3 linked regions of the Oryctolagus cuniculus genome follow. The protein of the gene in region 1 binds, or shares a complex with, the protein of each later gene. Links are inferred from orthologs where the notes say so. Each region holds a gene or a part of one and is shown in the gene's direction. Other genes may lie near its edges. The genes, in order: NELFCD, NELFB and NELFA.

Region 1 (5,581 bases):
CTTTCAAATAAATGAAATTAATCTTTTTTTTTTTTTTTTTTTTGGACAGGCAGAGTGGACAGTGAGAGAGAGAGACAGAGAGAAAGGTCTTCCTTTGCCGTTGGTTCACTGCCTCCAATGGCCGCTCCGGCAGGTGCGCTGCAGCCAGAGCACCGTGCTGATCCGAAGCCAGGAGCCAGGTGCTTCCTCCTGGTCTCCCATGGGGTGCAGGGCCCAATCTTTAAAACACACAAGCAGACGGGGCCACCTGCTCTGGGCTCCCCACATCTCTGCTGTCTCTGTGTCACCTCTGCCCCGGCTGCCCCCAAGTCGGGAGGTGTAGTTCACAGCCATAGGTGCCTCCTGTGGCCTCAGACCAGGGGAGCAGGGCTCAGCCTCAGAACTGAGGAAGAGGAGCAACTGGGACAGAATCCGGCGCCCGACCGGGACTAGAACTCAGGGTGCCGGCGCCGCAGGCGGAGGATTAGCCTGGTGAGCCTCGGCGCTGGCCAGAATACACATTCTTAATTATGCCTAACTTGTGTACCCAACCTTTGCCATTCCGAGGTCTCCAAGTCTTCGGCTCTGTTTGGTCTAAGACGACTGTGGAAGCTCCGGCTCTCAGGGTTGCTACGTGCATGGCCATCTGTTCTCTTCTGCTTTCAATGTACTTGTGCCTCTGCGTCGCTGATGTGTCTGTTACAGACAGCATATTGCTGCTTTTTCACCCAGCCTGGCGCTCTCTGCCCTTTGAGAGTCTGTTCACATTCAATGGAATTCCTGGCTGGGTTCATGCTGTCATCTTGCTACTTGTTTTTTATTTTGTTCTCCCTTATTTCTGTACTTAATGTTAAATGTGTCTTTGTGGGGCCGGGGCTATGGGGGGGAACCACGGCCTGCAGTGCCCGCATCCCATATGGGCACCAGTTCATGTCCTGGCTGCTCCACTTCTGATCCAGCTCTCTGCTGTGGCCTGGGAAAGCAGTAGAAGATGGCCCAAGTCCTTGGGCCCTGCACCCACATGGGAGTCCCAGGAGAAGCTCCTGGCTCCTGCCTTTGCACCCAACTGGGGGTGGTGGTGTCAGCAGATGGAACCTCCCCCTGCCATGTAACTCTTTCAAATAAATAAATAAATCTTAAAAAAAAAAAACAACAAAAACAAAAACAGGACATCAGGATATCAAGATCTAAGAGGCAAGAACTACAGAGCCAGGGCTGGCGCCCCAGTGCAGCAGGTAAAGCCGCCGCCTGCAGTGCTGGCATCCCATATGGGCACCAGATGCACCGAATATGGACCTGCCGCTTCCCACCTCCAACAGCCTGCAAGACCTCGCCATGGAGCACTCTGCTGGCACCCCTGGTCCAGCACATCCCAGTGGGAACTTGTTCTCATCCCTTCCAGAAGCTGCCCCACCCCCCGTCTCCACGGCAGCCGCCCCGAGGCACGAGGGTGAGTAGCAACAGCATCTTCCCTGCCCTGCGCCTTGCTCCCCACCCCGGCTGCTGTACCCCAAATCCACAGCAGCCCCCAGCCCCTTCTCAGCCCACCTGCAGTCCCACCTCCTCAGCCTTCTGCGACGTCTCCTAACTATGGAAAATGGGTTGGCTGGCGCCGCGGCTCACTAGGCTAATCCTCCGCCTGTGGCACTGGCACACCCGGTTCTAGTCCCGGTCGGGGCGCCGGATTCTGTCCTGGTTGCCCCTCTTCCAGGCCAGCTCTCTGCTGTGGCCCGGGAGTGCAGTGGAGGATGGCCCAAGTGCTTGGGCCCTGCACCCCAGGGGAGACCAGGAGAAGCACCTGGCTCCTGCCTTCGGATCAGCACGGTGAGCCGGCTCCCGGTGCTGACCCCGGCTTCCCGCCAGGGAAGACCCCCGGAGGCAGCGGTCACCGCTCCAGCACTGGGAGGCCTGGATGGAGCTCCAGCTCCCGCCGCCTGGGCCCAGCCCCGGCTGTCATCAGCACCTGGGGAGTGGACAAGCGGTCGTCACATCAATTGCATTTGAGGACTCTTAGCCAACGATTAGAGTAATTCACTTTGGGGCCCAGCTGCCCGACGAGGAAACGGGTGCTCCCGGGACCGCGAGCTGAGGCGGAGCCCAGGGGCCAGCTGGAAACTTCCAGCCGCAGTCAAGGCCTCCAGGCCCGGTCCAGGCAGGGTTCCTGGACCGACCCCCGGCGGCCGCTCGGCCCCGGGCGCGCACGCCGGCCAGGCCCCGCCCCCGCCGAGGCCCCGCCCCCGCCCGGGCCCAGGCGCGCGGCCGCGGGGGCGGGGCCGGGGCCGCGCGTGCGCGCAGGCGCCGGCGCCGCGCTGGCTCGCGGGAGAGCATGGCGGGGGCCGGGCCGGGCGCCATCATGGACGAGGACTACTTCGGGAGTGCTGCCGAGTGGGGCGACGAGGCGGACGGCGGCCAGGTGAGGCGGGGCCCCGGGCGCCCCCGACGAGGGTCGTGCGTCTGCGCCGCCGCCGCGCCCGCGCGTGCGGGGAGTGCGCGCGCCCGGCCGCGCGGCCGCGGTGTCCGAGCCGCGCGCGTCGCCACCGGCCCCGCCCGCCCCGCCGCCGGCCGCGGGCCTCCGCCCCTCGCTCGCTGGACGCCGGGTGGGGGACCCGGGGCCGGCCCGGCGCCGCGGCTTCCTGCCGTGGGGGGCGCGCGGGGCCGGGCGGGCTCCGGGGCTGGCGGCCCCGAAACGCCGACGTGCGGGGGTCGGGCCCGGAGGCTCGCGTTTTTATCAGAAATAAAGCTGCGGACCGCCGGCCAGCGTCACGAGTCCAAGGCGGGACTGGGGCTTTCCGTCCTGTGTGTCGGTGATCCGCGACCCAGCCCCGCGTCGGCTCTTCGGGCTGACCGAGAGGACTCTGGCCTTGCCCGCCCGGGGCCGGGGTGCGAGGGCGGCCGCCCCCTCCCCGGCGGGGGCCTCAGACCCCTCCCAGGCCTGCTGGACGCGCGTTCGTGGAAGATGGAGTTCCAAGATCAGTTTATTGTGCTGCAGAAATAAATGTGGGGTCACCCAACAGCTTTCCATAATGCTTGTCAAGAGCCTTTTTTTTTTTTTTTAGGAATCTGCTTATTTGAGAGTCGGAGTTGAGAGAGAGAGAGATCCATCCGCTGGTTCACTCCCCACATGGCTGTAATGGCTGCAATGGCCAGAGCTGGGCCAGGCGGAAGCCAGGAGCCAGGAGCTCCACCAGGTCTCCCAGGCGGGTGCAGGGCCCAAGCACCTGGCCCGTCTTCCGCTGCTTTCCCAGGTGCATTAGCAGGGAGCTGGATCGGAAGTGGAGCAGCCGGGACTCCAACCCGGCACTGCAGACCCTGGCTTAACCTGCTGTGCCACAGCCTTTGTTTCTGAAAAAGATTATTGGGCTGGCGCCGTCCCGGCTGCTCCACTTCTGATCAGCTCTCTGCTGTGGCCTGGGAAAGCAGTGGAGGATGCCCGCGTCCTGGGCCCCTGCCCTAAATGGGAGACCCCGAAGAAGCTCCTGGACTTTGGCTTCGAATCGTCACAGCTTCGGCCATTGTGGCCATCTGGGGAGTGAACCAGCGGATGGAAGACCTCTCTCTCTCTCTCTCTCTCTCTCTCTGTAACTCAGACTTTCAAATAAATAAATAAATCTTAAAAAAAAGATTATTTATTTGAAAGACCAGTGACACACACAGAGGGAGAGGGGTCTTCCATCCGCTGGTTCACTCCCCAGACAACTACAACGAAGCCAGGAGGCAGGCTGTCTGTGCAGGTCCCCCACATGGTAGCAAGGGCCCAGTGTTTGGGCCGTCACCTGCTGCCTCCCAGGCGCTAGCTTGGGGCTGACGTTCTGTAGAAGCAGAGCAGCTGGCCTTCGCCTGCCCTCAGCGTGGGAGGCCGGCCTAGCCTGCCGTGCCACACCCTGGCCCCTCTAACTTTCTGAAGACCTCGAGTACATGAATTTCCAGAACGGCTCGCACCAAAAGAAACCTAACCCTGGCGTTCCGTTTGCTGCAGACTTTGTGGAGCCGCTGTGTGCGTGGGATCTGCAGAACTGGTGCTTGGAGGGGATGAAGTGGGTTTACTTCTGGGACAGCAGGGTGGTGGCAAGCAGCGGCCCAGCGCTGAGTGGGAAGAGGCAGGGAGAACTCGGCCCGAAGTCCCTTGGTGCTTGGCTGGCCGTGGCGGAGCGGTGGTGGTGAGGGCTGCGGGGCGGGTCCTGGAGGGCTTTACAGAGCCCTGTCCAGTGGGGCTCATCCCGGCGTTCCGGACCGGGAGTGACGAGAGCGGGTCGGACGTTGTGTTCCTCCACAGCGTCTGGGGCTTGGAGTGGAGCAGGTTGGGTCAGAGGGAGCTCATGGAGAGCAGGGGCTGGGGGCTTTGATGCATCGTCCTCCCGCACGCCCCAGATCTCACCTTACAAATGCAGAGGTGAGAGGTCATGGCCTCGGGACCTGTGCAGGGTCACACAGCTGGGGAAGGAAGGAGTGGGATCCAAACCCTGTCCCTTGTCTCCATCGTCACTCCGTCACACTGCTGACGGCTCAGAGGGCCAGGTAGCGGGGCGTGGGTGTGAGTTAGCCCAGGTCCAGGTAGGGGGGCGTGGGTGTGAGTTGGCTCAGCTCCAGGTAGGGGGGTGTGGGTGTGAGTTGACTCAGCTCCAGGTAGGGGGGCATGGGTGTGAGTTAGCTCAGCTCCAGGTAGGGGGACGTGGGTGTGAGTTGGCCCAGGTCCAGGTAGGGGGGCGTGGGTGTGAGTTGGCCCAGGTCCAGGTAGGGGGGCGTGGGTGTGAGTTAGCCCAGGTCCAGGTAGGGGGGCGTGGGTGTGAGTTAGCCCAGGTCCAGGTAGGGGGGCGTGGGTGTGAGTTAGCTCAGCTCCAGGTAGGGGGGCGTGGGTGTGAGTTAGCTCAGCTCCAGGTAGGGGGACGTGGGTGTGAGTTGGCCCAGGTCCAGGTAGGGGGGCGTGGGTGTGAGTTGGCCCAGGTCCAGGTAGGGGGGCGTGGGTGTGAGTTAGCCCAGGTCCAGGTAGGGGGGCGTGGGTGTGAGTTAGCTCAGGTCCAGGTAGGGGGGCGTGGGTGTGAGTTAGCCCAGGTCCAGGTAGGGGGGCGTGGGTATGAGTTCGCTCAGGTCCAGGTAGGGGGGCGTGGGTGTGAGTTAGCCCAGGTCCAGGTAGGGGGGCGTGGGTGTGAGTTGGCCCAGGTCCAGGTAGGGGGGCGTGGGTGTGAGTTGGCCCAGGTCCAGGTAGGGGGGCGTGGGTGTGAGGTGGCCCAGGTCCAGGTAGGGGGGGCGTGGGTGTGAGGTGGCCCAGGTCCAGGTAGGGGGGGCGTGGGTGTGAGTTGGCCCAGGTCCAGGTAGGGGGGCGTGGGTGTGAGTTAGCCCAGGTCCAGGTAGGGGGGCGTGGGTGTGAGTTAGCTCAGGCCCAGGTAGGGGGGCGTGGGTGTGAGTTAGCTCAGCTCCAGGTAGGGGGACGTGGGTGTGAGTTGACTCAGCTCCAGGTAGGGGGGCGTGGGTGTGAGTTGGCCCAGGTCCAGGTAGGGGGGCGTGGGTGTGAGTTGGCTCAGCTCCAGGTAGGGGGGCGTGGGTGTGAGTTAGCCCAGGTCCAGGTAGGGGGGCGTGGGTGTAAGTTCGCTCAGGTCCAGGTAGG
Region 2 (5,444 bases), on another chromosome or scaffold:
TTCAGCTCCGGGTGCAGGGGAGGGGCAGGGGCCACCGTGCAGGAAGGGGGAGGGGCCACAGGGCGCCAGGGTGGGGGCGCGCGCGCGCGGGGTGTGTGTGTCCCTGGGTTGGCGCCTGCAGAGCTGGACAATGCTGCGTCCCTAGGGAGCCCCTGGCAACGGGGTGGGGGTGGAGCCACCCGCCAGTGAGGTCACAGTGCCCTCCCCCAAGGGAGCCAGAGACTGGGAGATGAATTTTGACCAGAAGGCGGTGAAATTCCTGGCAAATTTTTACATCAATGGAGGCAAACACTGGACCCACGGCCCCCTGAGCCAGAAGCTGCCGCGGCCGCCCCAGTAACCTCCGCGGGCGGCAGGCGGGGCGGCCTGGGAGGGTCGCCGGCAGGCCGGGTGGCCAGCGGCTGCCCGTCTCCCTTGCAGGTCCCAGTCAGCGGTGCTGTGGCTGGGCCCGCGGCCCGGGGCGGCCTGGGAGGAGGCGTGGCCCTCGCAGAAGCAGGCAGTCCCGGCTGCCCTGGGCTCAGGGGTGGACACTGCCTGTGCGGCCACCCTGAGGAAGCTGTGTGAGTGCAGCGGGGGTCTCGGCTCCCGCAGGCGATCGGGGGGCGAGGGGAGGAGGGGTCTGGTGGGCAGCCCCAGTCCCGAGCTGCTTCCTTCGGCCAGTGCTGGAGCGACGCCCCCCGCTGCTCACCGACCCGGAGGTGCCCGGCCCCGCCAAGTACCAGGTGCCCAGCGCGTCCGCGCGAGAGAGCTCCGCACACCCGCACTACAGCCTGGGACGCAGGCACCCCGGCCCAGGTGCATCCCCGCCGCCAGCCCCGCCCCGCCCCGCCCCGCCCGGCCCGGAGACCCCAGGCTATGCCACCTCCGCCCCTTCCCCTGCCCCCCTCCCCCGCAGAGGGCGGCGGCCGCAGGGCCTGGCAGACCGAGTGGCTGCGGAGCGAAAGCCCCTTCACGCACAAGGTGGACTTCAACCGCGAGCTCAAGGTGCGGCCGGCCCGCGGGGTGCGGGACGCGGGGGCTGGGCGGCGTGAGCGCGGAGCACGCCTCAGCCGCGTTCCGCCTCCCGCAGTGGCCGTCGCCCGCGCACTACCGGCCGCTCAGCGGCCCCGCCGCCCGCTCCTGCAGCGCCAGGGTCCCCCTTCCCGCCGCCATGGCCCCCGAGGGCCAGGCCCGCCCCGCGCCGCCGCGGGCGCAGCCGCTGGTGCAGGCTCTGGCGCGGGCTCGCGGCGAGAAGCGCCCGGACCCCGGCACCTACGACGTCGTCCCCGGGGACCGTCTGCGCAGCCCGCGCGCCCCCGCCTTCTCCATGCGCAGCGCGCGCGCCCCCGCCTCGCGGGCCGGCCCGGGTAAGGCGCGGGGCGCGGCGGGGCTGGGCGGCGGGCCCGGGCGGCGCAGCGCTGAGGTCCGCGGGGCGCCTCCTTGCCCTCTCTCCGCAGCCGGCGTCCCCGGCCCCGGCGCCTACCGCACGGAGCGGGCTCGCGACTCGCGCTTCCGCTCGGCGCCCGGCGCGCTCATCCAGGGCGTGCGGAGACCCAAGCGCCACGACACCGGCCCCTTCTGCGCGCTCTAGGGCCCCGCGTGGCCGAGGGCAGCCCGCGCCCCCATTACAGACGTACTGTTCCCCGGCTCCGCGCTGTGCCTTGTGCCCCTCCCGGCGCGCGGCGGGGACGCGGGGCGTGCGGGAGGAGGGGCAGCAGGCAGGCAGTGCGTGGCAGGGGCTGGGGTGGCTGCAGGTGCGTGGGCCGGCCGCCGCGGACAACCACGGCGGGTCGCTCCCGCAGCGCGCGCGGGTCTCCGCCCCGCCCCGTGGGAGGCACGCACGCAGCGCGCACCCTCCTCGACCACGCACGCTCGCGTAGGCAAGGCTGCGGGGAGGTCAGCAGCACCGCAGTGAAAGGCGCTCCAACGCCAGCTCCCGGAACGCGAAGCGCGGAGGGGGCGGGGCCGGGCGCCGGGGCGGGGCCGCGTGCGGCGGGCGAGGCCGGGCAGGGGCGGGGCCGCGTGCGGTGGGCGGGGCCGGGGCCGCGCCCACGGCTCGCGCGTCCTCCGGCTCCGCCCCCCGCGCAGGCCGAGGGCGGCGCTCCCAGGAACCCGTGCGCGGCCGCGGCGGCGTTTCCCGGGAGCGCTTTGGGTGGCGGACCAGGGCCGTGCGGGGCGGAAGTGGGCGGCCGCGGGCCGGTGCAGAGTCGCGCCGCGAGCGGGACCTGGGCGAGCTGGAGGCCGCGGGGGAGCGCAGCTCGGGCGGCCCCCGAGGCCCCGGGGAGCGGGCTTCCGGGGCGCCCGCGGCGGCCCCGGCGGAGCGCGGCGGGGATGGGGCGCCGAGCCGGCCGGGGGTCGGGGCCTCGGCCATGTTCGCGGGGCTGCAGGACCTGGGCGTGGCCAACGGCGAGGACCTGAAGGAGACGCTGACCAACTGCACCGAGCCGCTCAAGGCCATCGAGCAGTTCCAGGTGCGGCCGGGCACGCGGGCGGGGGCCGGGGCGGCGGGCGGACCCCCGCCTCGGGCCCCCGCGCTGACCCCCGGCCCCGCAGACGGAGAACGGCGTGCTGCTGCCCTCGCTGCAGTCGGCGCTCCCGTTCCTGGACCTGCACGGGACCCCGCGCCTGGAGTTCCACCAGTCGGTGTTCGACGAGCTGCGGGACAAGCTGCTGGAGCGGGTGTCGGCCATCGCGTCGGAGGGGAAGGCGGAGGAGAGGTGGGCGCGGGCGCGGGCTGCAGGCAGGCAGTGGGGCAGGGGCTGGGGAGGCTGCAGGCGCGTGGGCCGGGGGCGCGGGCTGGGGGCCGCAGGCAGGTAGTGGGGCAGGGGCTCCCCAGGCTGCAGGCGCGTGGGCGGGGGGCTGCAGGAAGGCAGTGGGTGGCAGGGGCCCGGGAGGCTGCAGGCGCGTGGGCGGGGGGCTGCAGGAAGGCAGTGGGTGGCAGGGGCCCGGGAGGCTGCAGGCGCGTGGGCCGGGGGCTGCAGGAAGGTAGTGGGGCAGGGGCTGGGGTGGCTGCAGGCGCGTGAGCCGGGGGCTGCAGGAAGGCAGTGGGTGGCAGGGGCCCGGGAGGCTGCAGGCGCGTGGGCCGGGGGCTGCAGGCAGGCAGTGGGGCAGGGGCTGGGGTGGCTGCAGGCGCGTGGGCCGGGGGCTGCAGGCAGGTAGTGGGGCAGGGGCTGGGGTGGCTGCAGGCGCGTGGGCCGGGGGCGCGGGCGGGGGGCCGGGGGCTGCAGGCAGGCAGTGGGGCAGGGGCCGGGGAGGCTGCAGGCGCGTGGCCGTGGGCGCGGGCGGGGGCCGGGGGCTGCAGGCAGGCAGTGGGGCAGGGGCCGGGGAGGCTGCAGGCGCGGGGGCGGGGGGCGCGGGCCGGGGGCCGGCCCAGGGCGGTCGCCCCGCAGCTTGTGCGGTGTCCGCCCCGCCCCGCGGGGGGGCTCAGCGCGCGCCGCCGCAGGTACAAGAAGCTGGAGGACCTTTTGGAGAAGAGCTTCTCGCTGGTGAAGATGCCGTCGCTGCAGCCGGTGGTGATGTGCGTCATGAAGCACCTGCCCAAGGTGCGCGGGCGGCCGGGGCGGGCCGGGGCCGGGGGCGGGGGCGCGCGGCCGGGGGCGGGGTCGGCCAGGGGCGCGCGGGGGCGGGGCCGGGGGCGCGCGCGGCCGGGGGCGGGGGCGGGGGCGGGGCGGGGGCGTCAGCGGCGGGGCGGCCGGGGCAGGGGGGCGGGGGGCGGGGGCCGGGGGCGCGCGCGGCCGCCCCGCCGCTGACGCCCCCCCCCCCTCGCGCGCAGGTGCCGGAGAAGAAGCTGAAGCTGGTGATGGCCGACAAGGAGCTGTACCGCGCGTGCGCCGTGGAGGTGAAGCGGCAGATCTGGCAGGACAACCAGGCGCTGTTCGGGGACGAGGTGTCGCCACTGCTCAAGCAGTACATCCTGGAGAAGGAGAGCGCGCTCTTCAGCACCGGGCTGTCGGTGCTGCACAACTTCTTCAGCCCGTCGCCCAAGACGCGGCGCCAGGGCGAGGTGTGCGGGCGGGGGCGGGAGGCTGCCGGGCCTGCGCGGCGCGTGGGCGAGGTGTGCGGGCGCGGCCCGGGTGGCGCTGGCTGGGAGCCGGCCCGGGGTTGGCGGTGGCCGGAGCCGGCCCGGGGTTGGCGCTGGCTGGGAGCCGGCCCGGGGTTGGCGCTGGCTGGGAGCCGGCCCGGGGTTGGCGCTGGCTGGGAGCCGGCCCGGGGTTGGCGGTGGCCGGAGCCGGCCCGGGGTTGGCGCTGGCTGGGAGCCGGCCCGGGGTTGGCGCTGGCTGGGAGCCGGCCCGGGGTTGGCGCTGGCTGGGAGCCGGCCCGGGGTTGGCGGTGGCTGGGAGCCGGCCCGGGGTTGGCGGTGGCTGGGAGCCGGCCCGGGGTTGGCGGTGGCCGGAGCCGGCCCGGGGTTGGCGCTGGCTGGGAGCCGGCCCGGGGTTGGCGGTGGCTGGGAGCCGGCCCGGGGTTGGCGGTGGCCGGAGCCAGGCCCGGGTGGCGCTGGCTGGGAGCCGGCCCGGGGCTGGCGGCGCTGACGCTGTGTGCTGCAGGTGGTGCAGGCGCTGACGCGCATGGTGGGCCGCAGCGTGAAGCTGTACGACATGGTGCTGCAGTTCCTGCGCACGCTCTTCCTGCGCACGCGCAACGTGCACTACTGCACCCTGCGCGCCGAGCTGCTCATGTCCCTGCACGACCTGGACGTCGGCGACATCTGCACCGTGGACCCCTGCCACAAGGTCGGCCTCCACGCCCACCTCGAGCTCTGTCCCTGGTAGGGTGGAGGAAGCAGCCCCGCCGCGCCCAGGCCCAGCTGTCCCCTGTCCCTGCAGCCCGGTGGTGCTGGCCCTGCCCCCCCCGAGCCCAGGGGCCTGCTGCTGGTGACGCGGGGCACCTGGCGCGGGGCTCCGAGCTGGACCCTCCTCTCCCTCGTTTTCCGTGGCTGTTGCAGCTGAAGACTGCTCCCTGGGTCTTGGGTCACCTGTGGCCACTTGTCACTGCTGTGGCCACGCCCCCTCCAGACAGGGGACACCATGGAGGCTCTCAGGAGCCTTCTGTCCTCACAGTGGTGCCCTGGGGACGCTGGGGGCGGGCCTCTGTGTGTTTCCTCTGTGAACCTGTGTAGCTGACGCACAGACGGGCAGCCTGTGCCTCTGCTGCCTGCTGGCCCTGGCCCTGGCCCGTGTCCGTCTGCCTGTGCCCTGCTCCGGCTCTGGCCCTTGTTCCGTGGCTGTGCCGGGTGGGGGCGGGAGGGTCTGGCCACGCTGAGCTGGTACACGTCCTCCCGCAGTTCACCTGGTGCCTGGACGCCTGCATCCGGGAGCGCTTTGTGGACAGCAAGCGGGCGCGGGAGCTGCAGGGCTTCCTGGACGGGGTGAAGAAGGGCCAGGAACAGGTCCTGGGGTGAGAGCGGCCGCGCCCCGCCCGGGCCACACCGCGGGCGCCTTCCCGGGGGCAGGGGTGGGGCCCGGCGT
Region 3 (5,317 bases), on another chromosome or scaffold:
GGGCAGCCCGGCCTTCGCACCCTGCCCTGCCCCTTCTACCCGATAACCTGCCAGGTGGGGGTCCCCGCCCCTCCTGCCTGACAGTCTCCCACAGTCTCCCAGGTGCAGCCCAGTCTCTGCATCTCAAACACCCTGCTCAGCATCCCCATTCTCCAGGGGGCCCTGCTCACCCTTCCTCTGAACCCAGGATGGCGCCAGCGAGGCTTCCTCCTGTCTGATACCTTCAGGGGAAAACTCAGATAGGAGCTTCTTAGTATTTACAGCCATAAACTCCTTTGTTTCAGGAGGGGATGTGTGAAGACAGAGACCCATCTCCTTAACCCCCACCCCCACCCCCGGCCTCAACCGGACTGTGCGCTCAGCCCTCTGCCTCTCTGCTGAGCCGCCCGCCTGCCTGCCCAGGTAGAATCCCTCCACTCAGCCATGTAACCTCGCTCTCCCCCAGTCCGAGCGATTGTGCACTCTCTCAGGTCCTGTCTGGAGAGGTGCCCATCCGTCCTTACAGATGTCCCTGCCCTAATAAACCTTGCTATTTCCTTCCCACTACTCTCTGTCTCACACCTGAATTCTTTCTTGCGCGAAGACAGGAACCCTGCCATTTCTCCGTAACAGGCTCCGACCTCGTCCCCTGTGAACTCCCACATCTACCGTGGGACGGTCGCGATTCCGCCGTGACACCGTCACACGCGCCGGTTCCAGCCCCACCTGCTCCACGGCCGACCCAGCGCCCCGGAGGGCAGCGGAGGACCCAAGGGCTCGGGCAGTGCGCCCACGTGGGAGACCGGAAGACGCTCCCGGCTTCGGCCTGGCCCAGCCCTGGCCGTGCAGCCATTCGGGCAGCGACCGGGGATGGACCGTCTCCCCCACCCCCAGCTCTGCCTCTCAAATACGTGAAACCTTCCCCCTAAGGATCTGTGATCAAATGAAGGGATCTTCAGTGATGTCTGCATTTAACCACCAACTCATAAAAGGCCTCAGGGTCCAACAGGTGCCTCCTACGAGTCAGTGGGCCAGTGGGCGCTCAGGTGCCCGAGGGCCCAGAACCTCCTGCAGCCTCCGGACGGCCCCTGCGAGCCGAGGCCAAGTCCCGGTCTCCCCAAACCGCCCCAGAGGACTCGGGGCCTCTCTCCCCTCTGGGGGGACACGGCGGGCCTCTCTCCCCTCTGGGGGGGACACGGCGGGCCTCTCTCCCCTCGGGGGGGGGGGGACACGGCGGGCCTCTCTCCCCTCTGGGGGGGGGGACACGCGCGGGCCTCTCTCCCCTCTGGGGGGACACGCGCGGGCCTCTCTCCCCTCTGGGGGGTCACGGCGGGCCTCTCTCCCCTCTGGGGGGACACGGCGGGCCTCTCTCCCCTCTGGGGGGGGGGACACGCGCGGGCCTCTCTCCCCTCTGGGGGGACACGGCGGGCCTCTCTCCCCTCTGGGGGGACACGGCGGGCCTCTCTCCCCTCTGGGGGGGGACACGGCGGGCCTCTCTCCCCTCTGGGGGGGGGACACGGCGGGCCTCTCTTTCCTCTGGGGGGACATGCGCGGGCCTCTCTCCCCTCTGGGGGGGGACACGGCGGGCCTCTCTCCCCTCTGGGGGGGGGACACGGCGGGCCTCTCTCCCCTCTGGGGGGGGAAACGCGCGGGGCAGGGCGGCGGCGGTCAGCTCCGAGCTGGGGCCGCGAGGACCACACGGGCACTCTGGGAGGAGAAAGCGAAGGGCCGGCTGCAGACAAGAGCTGCTGTCGCCTCCCACCAGCCGCCGTGCGTGTCGCAACGCTCTCGGCAATGAGCATTCCACGGCGGCTCCTCGGCGCCCGCTGCTACGTCATCTCCCGCCGCCGTGCTGAGGCCGGCGCCATGCTGCGGTACGGAAACGTCAGGTCTGCGCCGCGGCCGCCCGCCTGTGCCTCGCTCGAGGCCCCGCCCCCTGACGTCATCGCGCGAGCCCACGGGCGCCGCCATGTTGGGGGTCCTCGCCAGGGGCGCGCAGGTGTCTGCGTAAGATGCCGGCGCGGCGGCGCGGGCTCCCCCAAGATGGCGTCCATGCGGGAGAGCGACACGGGCCTGTGGCTGCACAACAAGCTGGGGGCCACGGATGAGCTGTGGGCGCCGCCCAGCATCGCGTCGCTGCTCACGGCCGCCGTCATCGACAACATCCGCCTGTGCTTCCACGGCCTCTCGTCGGCCGTGAAGCTCAAGCTGCTGCTCGGGACCCTGCACCTCCCGCGCCGCACCGTGGACGAGGTGAGCGGGCGGCGCGCCGGCCCCGGCCGTGCCCCGACGCCCGCCGTCTGCCCTCCCGACAGACCCGCGCCTCGTACCGCCCCGGCCCTCGCGCCTGCCCTCCCCCACCCCCGCCCTCGGTTCCCCACCCCCGGCGCTGCGGACAAACGCCCCTCACGTCCCCCCCACAGCCCCCCTCACGTCCCCCTCACGTCCCCCCTCACATACCCCCCTCACGTCCCCCCTCACGTCCCCCCTCACAGCCCCCCGCCTCACGTCCCCCCTCACAGCCCCCCTCACATACCCCCTCACATACCCCCTCACATTCCCCCCTCACAGCCCCCCTCACATCCCCCCTCACATGCCCCCCTCACGTCCCCACTCACATACCCCCCTCACATACCCCCCTCACATCCCCCCTCACATGCCCCTCTCACGTCCCCACTCACATACCCCCCTCACATACCCCCCTCACGTCCCCCCTCACAGCCCCCCTCACGTCCCCCCTCACAGCCCCCCTCACATGCCCCCCTCACATACCCCCTCATCCCCCCCTCACGTCCCCCCTCACAGCCCCCCGCCTCACGTCCCCCCTCACAGCCCCCCTCACATACCCCCTCACAGCCCCCCTCACATCCCCCCTCACATGCCCCCCTCACGTCCCCACTCACATACCCCCCTCACATACCCCCTCACATACCCCCCTCACGTCCCCCCTCACAGTCCCCCCTCACATACCCCCCTCACAGCCCCCCTCACATGCCCCCCTCACATACCCCCCTCACAGCCTCCCGCCTCACATACCCCCCCTCACATGCCCCCCTCACATCCCCCCTCACATACCCCCCTCACGTCCCCACTCACATACCCCCCTCACATACCCCCCTCACATACCCCCCTCACATACCCCCCTCACATCCCCCCTCACAGCCCCCCTCACATACCCCCTCACGTCCCCCCTCACGTACCCCCCTCACATACCCCCCTCACAGCCCCCCTCACGTCCCCCCTCACGTACCCCCCTCACATGCCCCCCTCACGTCCCCCCTCACGTACCCCCCTCACATGCCCCCCTCACAGCCCCCCTCATGTCCCCCCTCACATACCCCCCTCACATACCCCCCTCACAGCCTCCCGCCTCACAGCCCCCCGCCTCACGTCCCCCCTCACAGCCCCCCTCACATACCCCCTCACATACCCCCTCACATACCCCCCTCACGTCCCCCTCACGTCCCCCCTCACAGTCCCCCCTCACATACCCCCCTCACAGCCCCCCTCACAGCCCCCCTCACATACCCCCCTCACAGCCTCCCGCCTCACATACCCCCCCTCACATGCCCCCCTCACATCCCCCCTCACGTCCCCACTCACATACCCCCCTCACATACCCCCCTCACATACCCCCTCATCCCCCCCTCACGTCCCCCCTCACAGCCCCCCGCCTCACATACCCCCCCGCCTCACGTCCCCCTCTCACATACCCCCGCCTCACATACCCCCCCCCTCACGTCCCCCCTCTCCTGGTCCCTCAGGTCTTCCCCCCACCCGCATAGCCTCGCGTCTCCCCCTACCCCGCTCCTGACTGCACCCCCATCTTCCCAGCGAGTGGCCCCTCCTGACACCCCCCTCACGCCTCCCTCCACCAAGGTGAGGGGGCGGGGGTCTTCACGGGTGGTGTGGGCTCGTGGGCCTGCGCTCGGGTCTGCGGGGGAGGGCGGGCGGGGGTCTTCACGGGCGGTGTGGGCTCGTGGGCCTGCGCTCGGGTCTGCGGGGGGGGGGCGGGCGGGGGTCTTCACGGGCGGTGTGGGCTCGTGGGCCTGCGCTCGGGTCTGCGGGGGGGGAGCGGGCGGGGGTCTTCACGGGTGGTGTGGGCTCGTGGGCCTGTGCTCGGGTCTGTGGGGGGGGGCGGGCGGGGGTCTTCACGGGCGATGTGGGCTCGTGGGTCTGCGGGGCGGCCCTGTTTCCCGCGGGACCCCGGCAGCACCTGCCTGTGCGTGCACAGATGGGGGCGGCGCCCCGTGTCCCGTGTCCCGCTGCTCCCCGCCGCATCCCCCGCCCCGGCCCGGTTCCCGCAGTGCGGTGCGTGTGGCAGTGGTGGGTGCCGGGTCGCTGGGCCATGTCCTGGAGTGTGGAGGTGCCGCCAGGCCACGTGGAGTGGCCGTGACACTCGGGAGCGGCTGTGACGTGGGGTGCCGTGGCACTCAGTGGCTTCACGGACAGTGGCACGTCAGGGGTGGCTGTGGCGTGGGGCGGCCGTGTCACTCAGGAGTGAGCATCTTTTTGCTTGCTGTTTGGTCCTTTTTTTTTTAAGATTTATTTTCTATATTTGAAAGAGTACAGAGAGCGAGCGAGCGAGCGAGCGCGGTCTTCATCCGCTGGTTCACTCCCCAGATGGCCGCCGCGGCCGGCGCACCGCGCTGATCCGATGGCAGGAGCCAGGAGCCAGGTGCTTCTCCTGGTCTCCCATGGGGTGCAGGGCCCAAGCACCTGGGCCATCCTCCACTGCACTCCCGGGCCACAGCAGAGGGCTGGCCTGGAAGAGGGGCAGGCGGGACAGGACCGGCGCCCGCATGGGGTGCCTGCGGGCGGCGGCTTTATCCCACTGCGCCGCAGCGTTAGTTGCCGGTTTTTTTTGTGAGTTGGCTTTTCAGGTCTGTTTTCCCTCGGTTCTTTGCTTGTTGTGAGTGTGATGGAAGTGGTCCTTTTTCGGTGGCGTGTGTGACAAGCAGACCTGGAGACCCCGCAGTCCTGGTCGTCAGCTGTGTGCCGGGGTGGCCCGTGCGCGCTGAGCCAGTCCCGGCCTCCGCCGCTGCGCCCCCGAGGAGTCTGGGAGGTCAGCGCCCGGGCTCAGGTGGGCCCTGGCTGTCCTTGTCCGTGCGCCGGCCACGCGTTTTCTGTCGCGGCGGGAGGTGACTGCGAAGGTGGTTCTGGGGTGCAGTGGCGCTGGCCCATCTGCCGGTGTTGTGGGTCGGGGCGATCTGAGGGATCCGGCAGCTCGTGGAGAGCCCACGCGGGAGAACACTGGGGCGCCAGCGTTTGGGTACTGAAGTGAGCTGGCGCTGACCTGCTGCGCGTGGGCAGGCGGGCCCTCGGGACAGGGCTTCAG

What was found.
Region 2: the proteins of NELFCD (region 1) and NELFB are in contact, whole or in part, in a crystal structure (PDB 8JJ6), measured with the Homo sapiens proteins. The link is inferred for Oryctolagus cuniculus from reciprocal best matches to the Homo sapiens genes NELFCD and NELFB. Residues at the interface, in XP_047296144.1 of Homo sapiens: Arg63, Ile66, Met67, Glu68, Pro69, Ile71, Phe72, Leu75, Ile89, Gln90, Leu92, Ser93, Tyr96, Thr97, Ala98, Val99, Ala100, Gln101, Thr102, Val103, Asn104, Leu105, Leu106, Trp109, Leu110, Gln112, Thr113, Gly114, Val115, Gln121; in NP_056271.3 of Homo sapiens: Met49, Leu53, Leu56, Val58, Ala59, Asn60, Gly61, Leu64, Lys65, Leu68, Thr69, Leu75, Ile78, Glu79, Phe81, Gln82, Glu84, Asn85, Gly86, Val87, Leu88, Leu89, Ser91, Leu92, Ser94, Ala95, Leu96, Pro97, Phe98, Leu99.
Region 3: the proteins of NELFCD (region 1) and NELFA are in contact, whole or in part, in a crystal structure (PDB 5L3X), measured with the Homo sapiens proteins. The link is inferred for Oryctolagus cuniculus from reciprocal best matches to the Homo sapiens genes NELFCD and NELFA. Residues at the interface, in XP_047296144.1 of Homo sapiens: Cys204, Gln205, Gln206, Leu207, Glu208, Phe210, Ser211, Leu214, Arg215, Leu218, Ala219, Ile221, Leu222, Asp223, Gly225, Glu226, Cys241, His242, Gly243, Glu244, His245, Thr246, Tyr247, Leu248, Phe249, Ala252, Met253, Ser255, Val256, Leu257; in NP_005654.4 of Homo sapiens: Leu23, Trp24, Ala25, Leu54, Leu58, Leu61, His62, Arg65, Pro88, Trp89, Met92, Val93, Ile96, Leu97, Phe100, Gly104, Ser105, Leu106, Leu108, Leu110, Asn116, Val117, Asp119, Ile120, Leu121, Glu123, Leu124, Arg125, Lys127, Val128.

The regions. Positions count from the first base shown.
Region 1 is NC_091442.1:3,319,791-3,325,371, reverse strand, and holds the start of NELFCD (negative elongation factor C/D), read left to right. Parts: upstream 1-2,245; 5' UTR 2,246-2,305; coding exon 2,306-2,392; intron 2,393-5,581. UniProt on the Homo sapiens protein: Essential component of the NELF complex, a complex that negatively regulates the elongation of transcription by RNA polymerase II.
Region 2 is NC_091432.1:237,523,093-237,528,536, forward strand, and holds the start of NELFB (negative elongation factor B), read left to right. Parts: upstream 1-2,077; 5' UTR 2,078-2,348; coding exon 2,349-2,450; intron 2,451-2,532; coding exon 2,533-2,696; intron 2,697-3,421; coding exon 3,422-3,521; intron 3,522-3,751; coding exon 3,752-3,982; intron 3,983-4,523; coding exon 4,524-4,709; intron 4,710-5,260; coding exon 5,261-5,373; intron 5,374-5,444. Other genes in the region: protein STPG3, read left to right, coding at 421-560, 661-795, 896-984, 1,070-1,346, 1,437-1,570. UniProt on the Homo sapiens protein: Essential component of the NELF complex, a complex that negatively regulates the elongation of transcription by RNA polymerase II.
Region 3 is NC_091433.1:830,773-836,089, reverse strand, and holds the start of NELFA (negative elongation factor A), read left to right. Parts: upstream 1-1,927; 5' UTR 1,928-2,022; coding exon 2,023-2,232; intron 2,233-5,317. UniProt on the Homo sapiens protein: Essential component of the NELF complex, a complex that negatively regulates the elongation of transcription by RNA polymerase II.